2 linked regions of the Macaca mulatta genome follow. The protein of the gene in region 1 interacts with the protein of each later gene in a pairwise test. Links are inferred from orthologs where the notes say so. Each region holds a gene or a part of one and is shown on either strand. Other genes may lie near its edges.

Region 1 (5,496 bases):
AATTCATGACTGCTCTAGTGCTGTGGTCTGAATGTGTCCCCCAAAATTCATGTTGAAAGCCTAACCGCCAAGGTGACAGTATTAACAGCTGGGGCCTTTGGGAGGCTTTGCCCTCATTAATGGAATTAATGCCTCTATAAAAGAGGCCCTATAGAGCCCCCTCTACTCTTCTACTACATGAAGTTATAGTGAAAAGACAGCTAGCTGTCTATGAACAAGGGAAGAGGGCCCTCACTAAGATGTCAAATTTGTCGGTACCTTGATCTTGGTTGGGCTTCTCAGCCCCCAGAACCGTGAGAAATAAAACTTCCGTTGTTTATACGCCACCCTGTCTGTGGTGTTTTGTAATAGTAGCCAGAACAGACTAAGACATCTAGTAACGCATTCTCTGGTAAACACTAGGAATTCCTGGCCTTAAAGAGTTCATAGCTAATGAGAAAAGAAATAAACAATATAAAGGATAACATGCTGTAGTCCATTATATACAAAGTGCTTCCAGACCATTCAGAAAAACTGGATAGGAAGATTTCTAAGGTAATACTTATTGAGTGCCTGCGTGTTAGGCGTTTTACATACTTTAAGCCTCACAACTCTGGGGAAGTTTCACCAACCCATTTTACAGGTGACAAAACTGTGGCTTACCAAGATTAATAAGGTCAGAATTAAAAGTAGGGTCTAATTCCAAAGACATTACCACTATACATACCAATTTGTCTTGTTACTACATTTTATCCTTACATTTGGCAGTGAGGGGAAAACTCAAAACCAGTCAAAAAAACTTTTGTCCTGAACCAGCATAAAAAGAGCACCTAAGACTTCATCCAGTATTTTACTGAAAGATCACTTCTAAAAGTTTGTCTTCACCCCGATCTAAAAATTAGAAAACTAATTTTCTTTCAGCAGCTGCATAAGTACATAATGTAATGTTTCTACATTTAGACCTATACAATTATAGGTCTAAACAAAATATGTGTAACACGATTGGAGAACATTAGCAGTCATTTAAGAAAATGGACATTTGGAAACATCATTTTAAGAGCTTGGGATGAAAAACTTTGCTATGACCTATACATCTGGATCATTCCACTGACTGACACTGAGAGAAACAGTGTATTATCACAGTTTACACAGCAAATTTTTTTGGAGGGGAGTAGGAGGTGATTGAAATAGAAATGATATGAAGTTTAAGAAATACAACTGATTAGATGTCACATGTCAAAGACACTGTAGGTACCCAATAAATACTGTTAAATGGACTGGACAAGTGGGATGAGAACACTTTTTCCCCACACCTCTGACTAGTACGTGCCTTTCTTAGGAAGTTATTTTTTCAGCCATGAAAAAAAAAGGGCAGAATTTAGGACAGATAAAACACAAGTAGCTTATAAATCCTCTGAAAGGAAATCAAAACACAGTATTTTGTATCTCTGTATAAAGTTAAGCTCCTCAGGGACAGGGGCAATGTCCAGAGGATGGTGAGCATACTACTTAGCAAACTAATGCAGGTTAATAAATATTGACACAGTAAGACTTGCATAGTTTACATTCTAATTTTGTAAAGATTATGAGTTACCTCTTCATATTCTGTTCTTGTATTTCTCCTGTGTATATTATAAATACACAAACATTGCAAATTATTTCTTGAAGCTATTTCATTTTTGGTCAAGACTATTAGCGTTTCTTAAAAGGGTTTCTGGTCATCCTTAGGGTTTATCAGCCACATCATTAATATTGTATTCATTTCACTAAAAATGTGGTAAGTAGCTTAGATTTAAAAACAGGATCTAATTTCAAAGCTATTTCCACTATACATACCAAGATAAAACTTTCTTCTCTCTCCTAAATTCTAAATTTCACATGATTTACCCAATCACCTCTTAAGAGTACTTATTGGTCAGCAGTGTGAGACAAACACTTACCCCACTTGTCCAATGTATTCCACAAGATTGACTGGGTACCTTTGTGTCTCTGACAGGTAACTTCCGACAGTTGTATTTCTTAAACTTTAAGTCGTCTCCCAAAAAACTCTGTAATTTGCTGCTTCTCTCAATATTGCAGGCAGTGAAATGATCCAAAATTACGCGTCATATCCATATTCCTTCATGATTGAGGTTAACTATGCACTGCAAACCCCATATGCTATTACTTTATATTTTCAGCAGCACCCTAGCCTCTTAATAATCTCAAACAGATTTTGTACTGTTACTAATTTAGCACATCCATAAAAAGTCATTAAAAAAATTTAGACGCTAAATTCTCTTTCAAGGTTGCCAAGCTTCACCACTGTATTAAAATTATTTTTAAAATTTCACGGACTAAGGCATTTGGTACATTCAATTCCACCTTTACCAACAAAAGCCTTTATCACTAAGATGAGGAAAGCATCCTTTTCATTTTCTCCAGTGAAAAGGGGGAAAAAAAAAAAGGCCAACTGCTTGCATGCAGGTCTGCATATAACACAGCAGTCTCTGGCAAAGCCAGTAACTCACGTTCAACTTCAGAAATCCTGGTGGACGGCAACACATGAGTAATCTGTGCGCACAACCCTTGGGCTTGACATACCACTTCCTCCGCCCTCCCTTCCCATCAATCCACCCCCAAAACCCCAACCCACCAAGCACACGGCTAAATATGTCTTCCCCAAGAGAGCCAGAAACCTCGAAAACGCCGAGAAAGAGCTCCCCTTGGAAGGAAAGGGCCTGCCCTTCCCAGTCCGGGGCCCCGGCTGGCTCGACAAGCCTCTCTCCGAGGAGGCCCAAATCTCGACGCCTCGCACGTCCAGCCCCGCCCCGGGCCCGCTCGCGTCCCCTCGGGCGACAAAACCCTCCCGCCGGCGCTCAGCCAGGACTGACAGTTAAGACTGCAGCAGCCGCGGCCACCAGGGGCCTACTTCTGGCACCAGCCCCTCCGGACCACGCGCCCCCAAACACTCGCCTCGGCGGCGGGGGGCGGGGAAGCGGGGCGCCGACCTCGCCACCGCGGGCCCCGAAGGCCGGCCGAGTGACGGAGGGGAGCCAGCGCCGCCTGACGCAGGCCGCGGCAACACTGACCTGTCGTCGCCCCCGCGCCTGGGCTGCGGCGGCCGCCTCACTGGTCGTCGTCGCCCTCGCCCGCCGCCTCCGCCCGCCACCGCCTCGTTCCCTTTCGCTGCCGCCACCGCCGGGGCTCATGCGGGACCCGCGCTTCCTTATCCGGAAAACGAGGCCGGGAAAGGGGGCGCCGGAGCCGCCGAAATTCCGGCGTTCGTCGCCAGCCGCCGCTGCCTGTCCACACCGGGGGCTGCGGGGCCCTCCTGCCAGGGGCTACAGGCCGCGAGCTATTCCGAGGAGGAGCCGAAGGAGGCGCCGCCGCCCGCAGCCGAGCGCGCCGGGTCGGCAGAGGTGAAGCGTAAGTAGGCGGCGGATGGCGGGCGCCCGGGCTGGCGGATGGCTACGCGGCGGAGGGGTGCGCGAGCGAGCGAAGCCTGGTGTGTCGGGTCCTGGCGAAGGGAAAAGGCCCTGTCGTCTCCTGTAGTCACCCCGAGCCCAGCGCCACCATCTTGGGAGAAACACGGATCTCGCGGCCGCGGCGCAAGACGGGAGGACTGGCTGGGCGGGCCGAGTATCCCGGCAGGCAGCGCGCGCCGCCCGGCCGGGCGAGGGCTCCAGGCCGGGACGCGGGGACGTGGGGCGGGGCCAAGACGCGCGGGAGGGCGCCGCGCTCCGCCCCTCCTTCCCTCGCCGGCTCCGCCTCCCCCCCGCTTGCCGTCGCCGCCGGCGCACGGGTCGTTGGGAAGAGGAGGTGGCCCGCGGCCCCTCGGAGTCCCACCAGGGTCGGTCGCCATCTTGCGACTGGACAGAAAGGATAATCCCTCCTTTTAGTTTGTGCTGTCTGTGACCCGAAAGAATAAACCTGGTACATCCGGAAGCCCTCTGGGCACCCCCCAGGAGGGTTGCAGAGCCCCTTGGTGTACCCAGCCGAGGAATGCCTCCGACTGTGTAGGGAGACGAATGGCTCCGAAAGTCAGCTGAAACCGCAGGAATAGCCCCCAGCCCCGAGGCGGGGCAGGTGCCTGGCGTTATTAACTTTTCCACCCCAACCCTTTTCTATCTGGAGCTGTCTTTATAGGTGTTGCAGGGGTGCCCCGAGAGTGCAGGCCAGATTTTAGAGGACCAAGGTCATCTGCTTAGGCCTCTTGCCAACACGGGATGTGTCAACTAGTTTACCGGAGACGAAGGTAAAGTCCCGTCTCCTGCAGTTGTTGACGTGCAGTAGGTTGTCGGTTAAGAAAAGTGGCTCCCTGGTTGACCCCAGCTGGGATAGAGGCTAATTTTGATCCCTATGACAGCTGAACCTAGTTCAAGCCATTAAAATTAAAATTAAATCCATTTAAAATCATATTTAGTACCAGGATCACCATTTTATTTTAAAAGGGGTGTGTGTATGTATGTGTATATGTAGCTTTACAACACTTGCTAGCAAAGCCAAAACAGTATCATTAACAATTCACAGTGTTACGACTAGCAACTTTGTTGATAAGCCCTTGAAGTAGCATATGAGTCGCCATGTCTAGTATTCAGATTTTTTATATCAACAGTCATACATAGCAGTGTATCTTTTTTTAATTTATTTTTGTTTTTAAACTTGGAGATGGAGTCTTGCTATGTCAAGCTCCTGGCCTCAAGTGATCCTCCCACCTCAGCCTCCCAAAATTCTGGGACTATAGGCATGAGCCACAGTGCTCGGCCAACACTGTATTTTTTAACTGTCAGTCTCAGAAAATCTTTGTTATAGTGTGGGGGTGTGTGTATCCCGCCTCACAACTATAATCAACTATCGAAAAAACAACAATAAGCTAGAAGAATTTAAGTTATTCTAGGACAACTGACGATAAATGATAGTATTCAGCCATATTCTAAGATGTTTTAACTCAGCTCGTTATTCACTTTTCATTTCCTCTCAGTACACATCCACATTTGTAAACTATTTGCTGTTAGATTTCATGGAAAGGACTGGTAAGAAACATAATCTTAATCCCAGATTTGGGAGGCCGAGGCAGGCAGATCACGAGGTCAGGAGATCGAGACCATCCTGGCTAACACGGTGAAACCCCATCTCTTACTAAAAATACAAAAAGATTAGCCGGGGGTGGTGGCAGCGCCTGTAGTCCCAGCTACTCGGGAGGCTGAGGCAGGAGAATGACGTGAACGCAGGAGGCGGAGCTTGCAGTGAGCCCAGATCCCACCACTGCACACCAGCCTGAGCGACAGCAAGACTCCGTCCCAAAAAAAAAAAAAAAAAAATCATAATCTTTATAAAAATTAATCTTTGCAGGTTTTCAAAATAGGCAACAAAGAATGCAAATCTTTAAGGACTTTATTGTTAGACTAATTAAAGCATACCATTTCTACTATATCTAGCGTATGGAGATACTTTTAGGTATTCTTCCTTTTAAGTAGAAATTGTCAATAAATGAGGTGTAATTTTATAATGGCCTGGTGTATCAAAGTGTGGCAG
Region 2 (5,383 bases), on another chromosome or scaffold:
TCCTGAGTAGCTGGGACTATAGTTGTGCACCCCCACACTCAGCTAATTTTTGAATTTTTTTTTTTTTTTTTTTTTTTTTGTAGAGACAGAATCTCCCTCTGTTGCCCAGGCTGATTTCAAACTCCTGGGCTCAGGGGCTTCTCCCACCTCAGCCTCCTGAAAGTGCTGCGATTACAGGGGTGAGCCACTGTGCCTGGCCAGAAGATGAAGCTTTCATCCCTGAACTGACAGCCATGCCCTGGAGGTCCAGCATGGGCTTCAGGCTGCCTCTGCCCCTGCTCATAGGGCATTCTATTTAGTTCAGCTCTCAGCCACTGTGGATAAAGGAGATTCACTTCACATTTTATGTTTCACAATTTTAGTATAAGCACAAATTTATAAATGATAACAAGGAAGAGCTCCCCAAATACTCTGCACCATCTTATTTCTGTGATTATGTTTTTTTCTGTGTAAAATAAGGATTTCTATTATTCCTAAATCTTTTTTACAGACTGTATTTTTTAAGAAGTTGTAATCACTGGGTGCGGTGGTTCATGCCTGTAATCCCAGCACTTTGGGGGGCCGAGGTGGGTGGATCACCTGAGGCCAGGAGATTGAGACCAGTCTGACCAACATGGAGAAACCCCATCTCTACTAAAATTACAAAAATTAGCTGGGCATAGTGGTGCGTGCCTGTAATCCGAGCTATTCAGGAGGCTGAGGCAGGAGAATCGCTTGAACCCAGGAGGCGGAGGCTGCAGTGAGCCGAGATCGCGCTACTGCACTCCGCCTGGGCAACAAGAGCAAAAAAAAAAAAAAAAAAAAGAAGTTGTAATCAATGCATTCAATTCATGTGGTCCATTTTAAGTTTTTTATGTTATGTAATATTCCTATCAGTATTTTGTACAAATTTTTATTTCAAATTATTTTTGTACAATATTTCCAAATGTTGGCTCACAAGCTTGAAGTATCAGCAGTTTCATGCCCATCCTAATATTTTGCAAAATTTATATTCAAAAAGACAAGTTAGCAAGGCTAGAGGCACTATTTCATAATGTTTACTAATTTAATAGGTACAGATGGATCTCTCAAAATTATACAAATCAGCACTTCCTTAATTACTAATGAGGAAGAACACGTTTTTAGATATATATTAACACCTGTATCTCCTTTGAAATGAAATATTCAGAACCTTTGAACATTTGTCAAATGGAGATTTGGTTTTGGTTTTTCAGGTTAAACCAGTTTCCTAATACTTTGAATATTAAAGTCATTAGAAACTTTTCTTACAACTTAACTTTTGGTCTTGATTTTGTTTTTATTCTTATTGTATGAAACTTTATATAATGTAAGTAATCAACCGAAAAACCACGAAGTCCCCGATATAACTCTTTAAAGTGTTTTTAAAATTTGATTTTATCATGAAACTGGAGTTTTATTCTGCATTAAGAATGTGTTTCTATGTACACATAAGGAAAAAAAATGTTCAACATTGAAAGTCAAGGAAGCATGTACTTTACCAAAATATTCAGGGTAGAAATTTTTAATAGATGGAGAGAAGTAAACCTAAAAAGGAGTAATTTCAATCTATCAGAAACAACCTTCTATCCTTCAGTTTGAGAGCCCATTTTTTGTTGTTCTTGGGTGTTTGTTTATTTGTTTGTTTAACCTCTTTAGTCTTAAATAGTAACAATTGCATTTCAGTGTGCTCAGGACCATAATGAAAATAGGCTTTCAATACACAGAGAAGCAGAAATGAAGCAAAGGAGCTATGTACATAGGGCAATAAGTAAATCCATTTAGGACCTAGAAGCTCAGCAAACACGAAGCTCCTGCCAGACTCAAGGCCTTCAAATTAGAATTAGTAATGATAGGACAGGCACTTTACTTGACAAATAAGTATGTTTGGGAGCCTAGAGGGGAAGTGCCCATATGCTAAAGAAAGCCAGGAAAGAAGTTGGACCTTGATGCCTTGTATTTAAGCATTCCAAGACCCCTTTCCCAAATCCAAAGGGCCATGTAATCTTAGCCTCTCCTTAGGAATTATGCATCAGGAAAGTGAAGAGAATTACTAGACATTTGGTCCCGTTATTATAGCACTAAAGATTTGGCAGCCACCAGGTATGGAGTGTCAGGAGGGGCTTACCGATGGATGGGGCATAGCCATTATATTTGCCCGAGTCCAGGGCATCTTTCATTGCCTGGGTAACTTCAGGGTCTGTAGGCAGGTTTCCAAACACAGTAGGGTCCCCTTTTTATGGGAGGAAAAAACAAAAGGAGCCAAGAGGTTATTCTCCCATGTTCAGTACTTAGACTCACCCCCAACTCCCATCCTCTCCAACCAGCCTGTTAACATGAGAGTAGAGGGGGACAATGACAGCCCCTCATTAGTGTCCCCCAACTCACCAATGGACAGAGAAATCATGGTTTTGTTTGGATTTGGTTTCACCTTCATGTTGTCCACAATGGCTCGGATGGGGTTGAAAGTTTTGTTGGCCATGTCTGAGGGCCTCACGGACCACCTGGTATTCCTGCCTTTCATTTTTCCCGGCACAGAGCTTCTCCCACCAACGTTGACATGCACATCCAGAATTGAGGGGAGGTTGCCTTTGCTGCTCATCTGAATCACGTATGGGTCCATCACTAGCGAAGCCTGCGAGGGGAAAGAAGGTCCCTGTGATGTTGAAAACATAGCACTGGGAGAGAGAGGAGCTACATTTGGACCTAAACATTGGGGTGACTTCACTAAAAGTGTCTTTCCAAACTCTCTCTTTTTTTTTTTTTCTACTTTCTCTCATAAAGTAGCTTTACTATGAATGAGGGGAGTTTTAAGACTTTTTACTGAGATGGAAAATAAAGCAAGAACCCATCATACTTAAGTAGGATTTGCTACATGCATCTGTAATTCCTGTCAAAGCTTAGCCATGCTCTATGAGAAACCAAGAAGGAATAACATGAAAATTGTTCATCAATCAAAGAATAGGTGCTCCCTCCTTTCCATGCGAGCCTATCCAAGAAAATCTACCTAATGCTTCTTGTTATCTACAGAGAACCAGGAAGAACCACTCCATCTTGTTAGAAGTTCCATGTAAATATCATTGTTAGTAAAAGTAAAACCTTATCCCATAAGGATCCTACAGCCCTAGTTGGAAAAAGAAATCAATACACCAAAAAGAAAAAAGTGAACAGCCCAATCAGTCACCACTGCCTGATCAGCTTGGGCTTGAGATTTTTACCTTCCAAGTAAAGGAGAAAGCAGCCTCCAAGAAGCAAACCCTGAAAGCTCCCTTAGCTCTTCTTTGACAGGTTACAGTGGCAATGAACTCAGATGCAAATCCTGACTCCTGAAATAGTCTCCACAAACGGGCGTTGAGCCTGAAACTTTCATGCCATTGGTTGGGAATGAGAGCTCAGCAGCCAGCCCTCCCCTCAGCTTCTTTCCTCCTCTCCCCTCCTCATTGCCTCTTATCCCTAAGCCCACCTCTCACCCTCAAAGCAGGAATTTGTCCTCACTTCAAACATCTGGAATTCTCCTGTGTTAACTCTTTCTGGGTACTTGGTGAGATGATTTCAGAATATCTACTGTCAGAAGGTAGTTCTTATTACAGCTGATAGCTTTTATTAAATTTTTTTTATTGTTAAAAAACAGCCTGTTAAAATTTTAACAGTACAGAAATATATAAAGTAAGAAGTAAGCATTCTTCCTTGCACCTGCTCCCTGTACACTTCATTCTCACTCCCAGGAGTAGAGGGTGGTAATGGTCAGGCTCTTTCTCTCCATTCAGAGATAGATACATTAGATATAGGTGCATAGATACATAATTTTATAGATTTCAAAACACAGATAGGATCCTGCTCTACACCTTGTTTGGCAACATTTTTTTTTCACTTCCTACATCTTGGACACCCCTCCTTGTCAATCCACAAAGTTTTGCTCCAATCAGAACAAATTGGGCACTTAAGTTCCATTCAATGAATATCTGAAAAGCACAGGGTTTCCAAGGCAGCGGAAACCTGTGCAGTTTTATCCTTGCACTGCGCGTGAATTCTTCACTTACCTCCTATGGTTATTGGAAGAATTTAAAATGTCAGGTGCGATCTACACAAAACAAATTTGCTAAGCAAAACACAAGGTCCACAGCCAAAATCTCAACATTCCTGTGAGCAGATGGAAAAGACCACCCACTGAAGGGTTAGGAGAAGGCTCAGTGGTCTCCCCAGGTTCAGATCCTATCTGTATATTTGTTGGAAGACAAAGATTTTTCACATCAGTTTGTTCTTCTCCATCCACTTTTCAGGGAGTCACGCCTCCAGTGGGGTTGAATATAGTAGTCCCCCCTTATCCACAGGGAGCTCACTCCAAGACCTCCAGTGCATGCCTGAAATTATGGATGTCTGAAACCATGGGTAGTACTGAACCCTAGGTACGCTATGTTTTTCTTATACAGTAATGGCCGGTACCGTCTATAGCATGGATACACTAGAAAAAATTATTCACATCTTGGGCCAACAGCATCCTTGTCATAAATGTTAGTTTACATATTTTATTATTTCCTTAAGACAGATTTCTATACATGGACTTTGTTGAAAAGAATAAGCATTTTCTCTTTTATGTTTTTAGTAAATATGATATATCCTTATATAATAAATTCAAATAGAGATATACATGAATTAAACCTTGATCACCTTCCCTCCCTGCATTCCCATTTCATATAAAAAAGCATTTCTAGTCATTTCTTGTGTATCCTTCCAAATGTTTTCTATGTTTATTACAATACATATATAGCTGGTTTGGGAGTTGCTAAAAAAATAGAGACTAAAAGTGGTCTATAGTTGCACTGTCTAATATCGTAGCTACTAGTCATAAGTGGCTGTCGAATACTTGAAATGTGGCTGGTCTGAATTAAGATGTGTTGTTGTGGCTGGGCGCAGTGGCTTACGCCTCTAATCCCAGCACTTTGGGAGGCCGAGGCGGGTGAATCACGAGGTCAGGAGATAGAGACCATCCTGGCTAACACGGTGAAACCCCGTCTCTGCTAAAAATACAAAAAATTAGCCGGGCATGGTGGCGGGCGCCTGTAGTCCCAGCTACTCGGGAGGCTGAGGCAGGAGAATGGCGTGAACCCGGGAGGCGGAGCTTGCAGTGAGCCGAGATCATGCCACTGCACCCCAGCCTGGGCAACAGAGCGAGACTCTGTTTCAAAAAAAAAAAAAATCATGTGTTGTTGTAAAATACACATCAGGTTTCGAAGACTTAGTATAAAAAAAGAGTATTAAATATCTCATAATAATTTTATATGATTACATGTTTAAAGAATATTTTGGGGCTGGGTGTGGTGGCTCACACCTTTGGTAATCCCAGCCCTTTAGGAGGCCAAGGCGGATGGATCGCTTGAGCTAAGGA

Evidence for each region.
Region 2: the proteins of UBE3A (region 1) and TAT interact in binary tests that used the Homo sapiens proteins (3 or more experiments, as listed by UniProt). The link is inferred for Macaca mulatta from reciprocal best matches to the Homo sapiens genes UBE3A and TAT.

What each region holds. Positions count from the first base shown.
Region 1 is NC_133412.1:4,509,813-4,515,308, reverse strand, and holds the start of UBE3A (ubiquitin-protein ligase E3A), read right to left. Parts: upstream 3,124-5,496; 5' UTR 3,051-3,123; intron 1-3,050. UniProt on the Homo sapiens protein: E3 ubiquitin-protein ligase which accepts ubiquitin from an E2 ubiquitin-conjugating enzyme in the form of a thioester and transfers it to its substrates.
Region 2 is NC_133425.1:68,298,228-68,303,610, reverse strand, and holds the start of TAT (tyrosine aminotransferase), read right to left. Parts: upstream 3,374-5,383; 5' UTR 3,216-3,373; intron 2,633-3,215; 5' UTR 2,621-2,632; coding exon 2,386-2,620; intron 2,231-2,385; coding exon 2,126-2,230; intron 1-2,125. UniProt on the Homo sapiens protein: Transaminase involved in tyrosine breakdown. Converts tyrosine to p-hydroxyphenylpyruvate. Can catalyze the reverse reaction, using glutamic acid, with 2-oxoglutarate as cosubstrate (in vitro).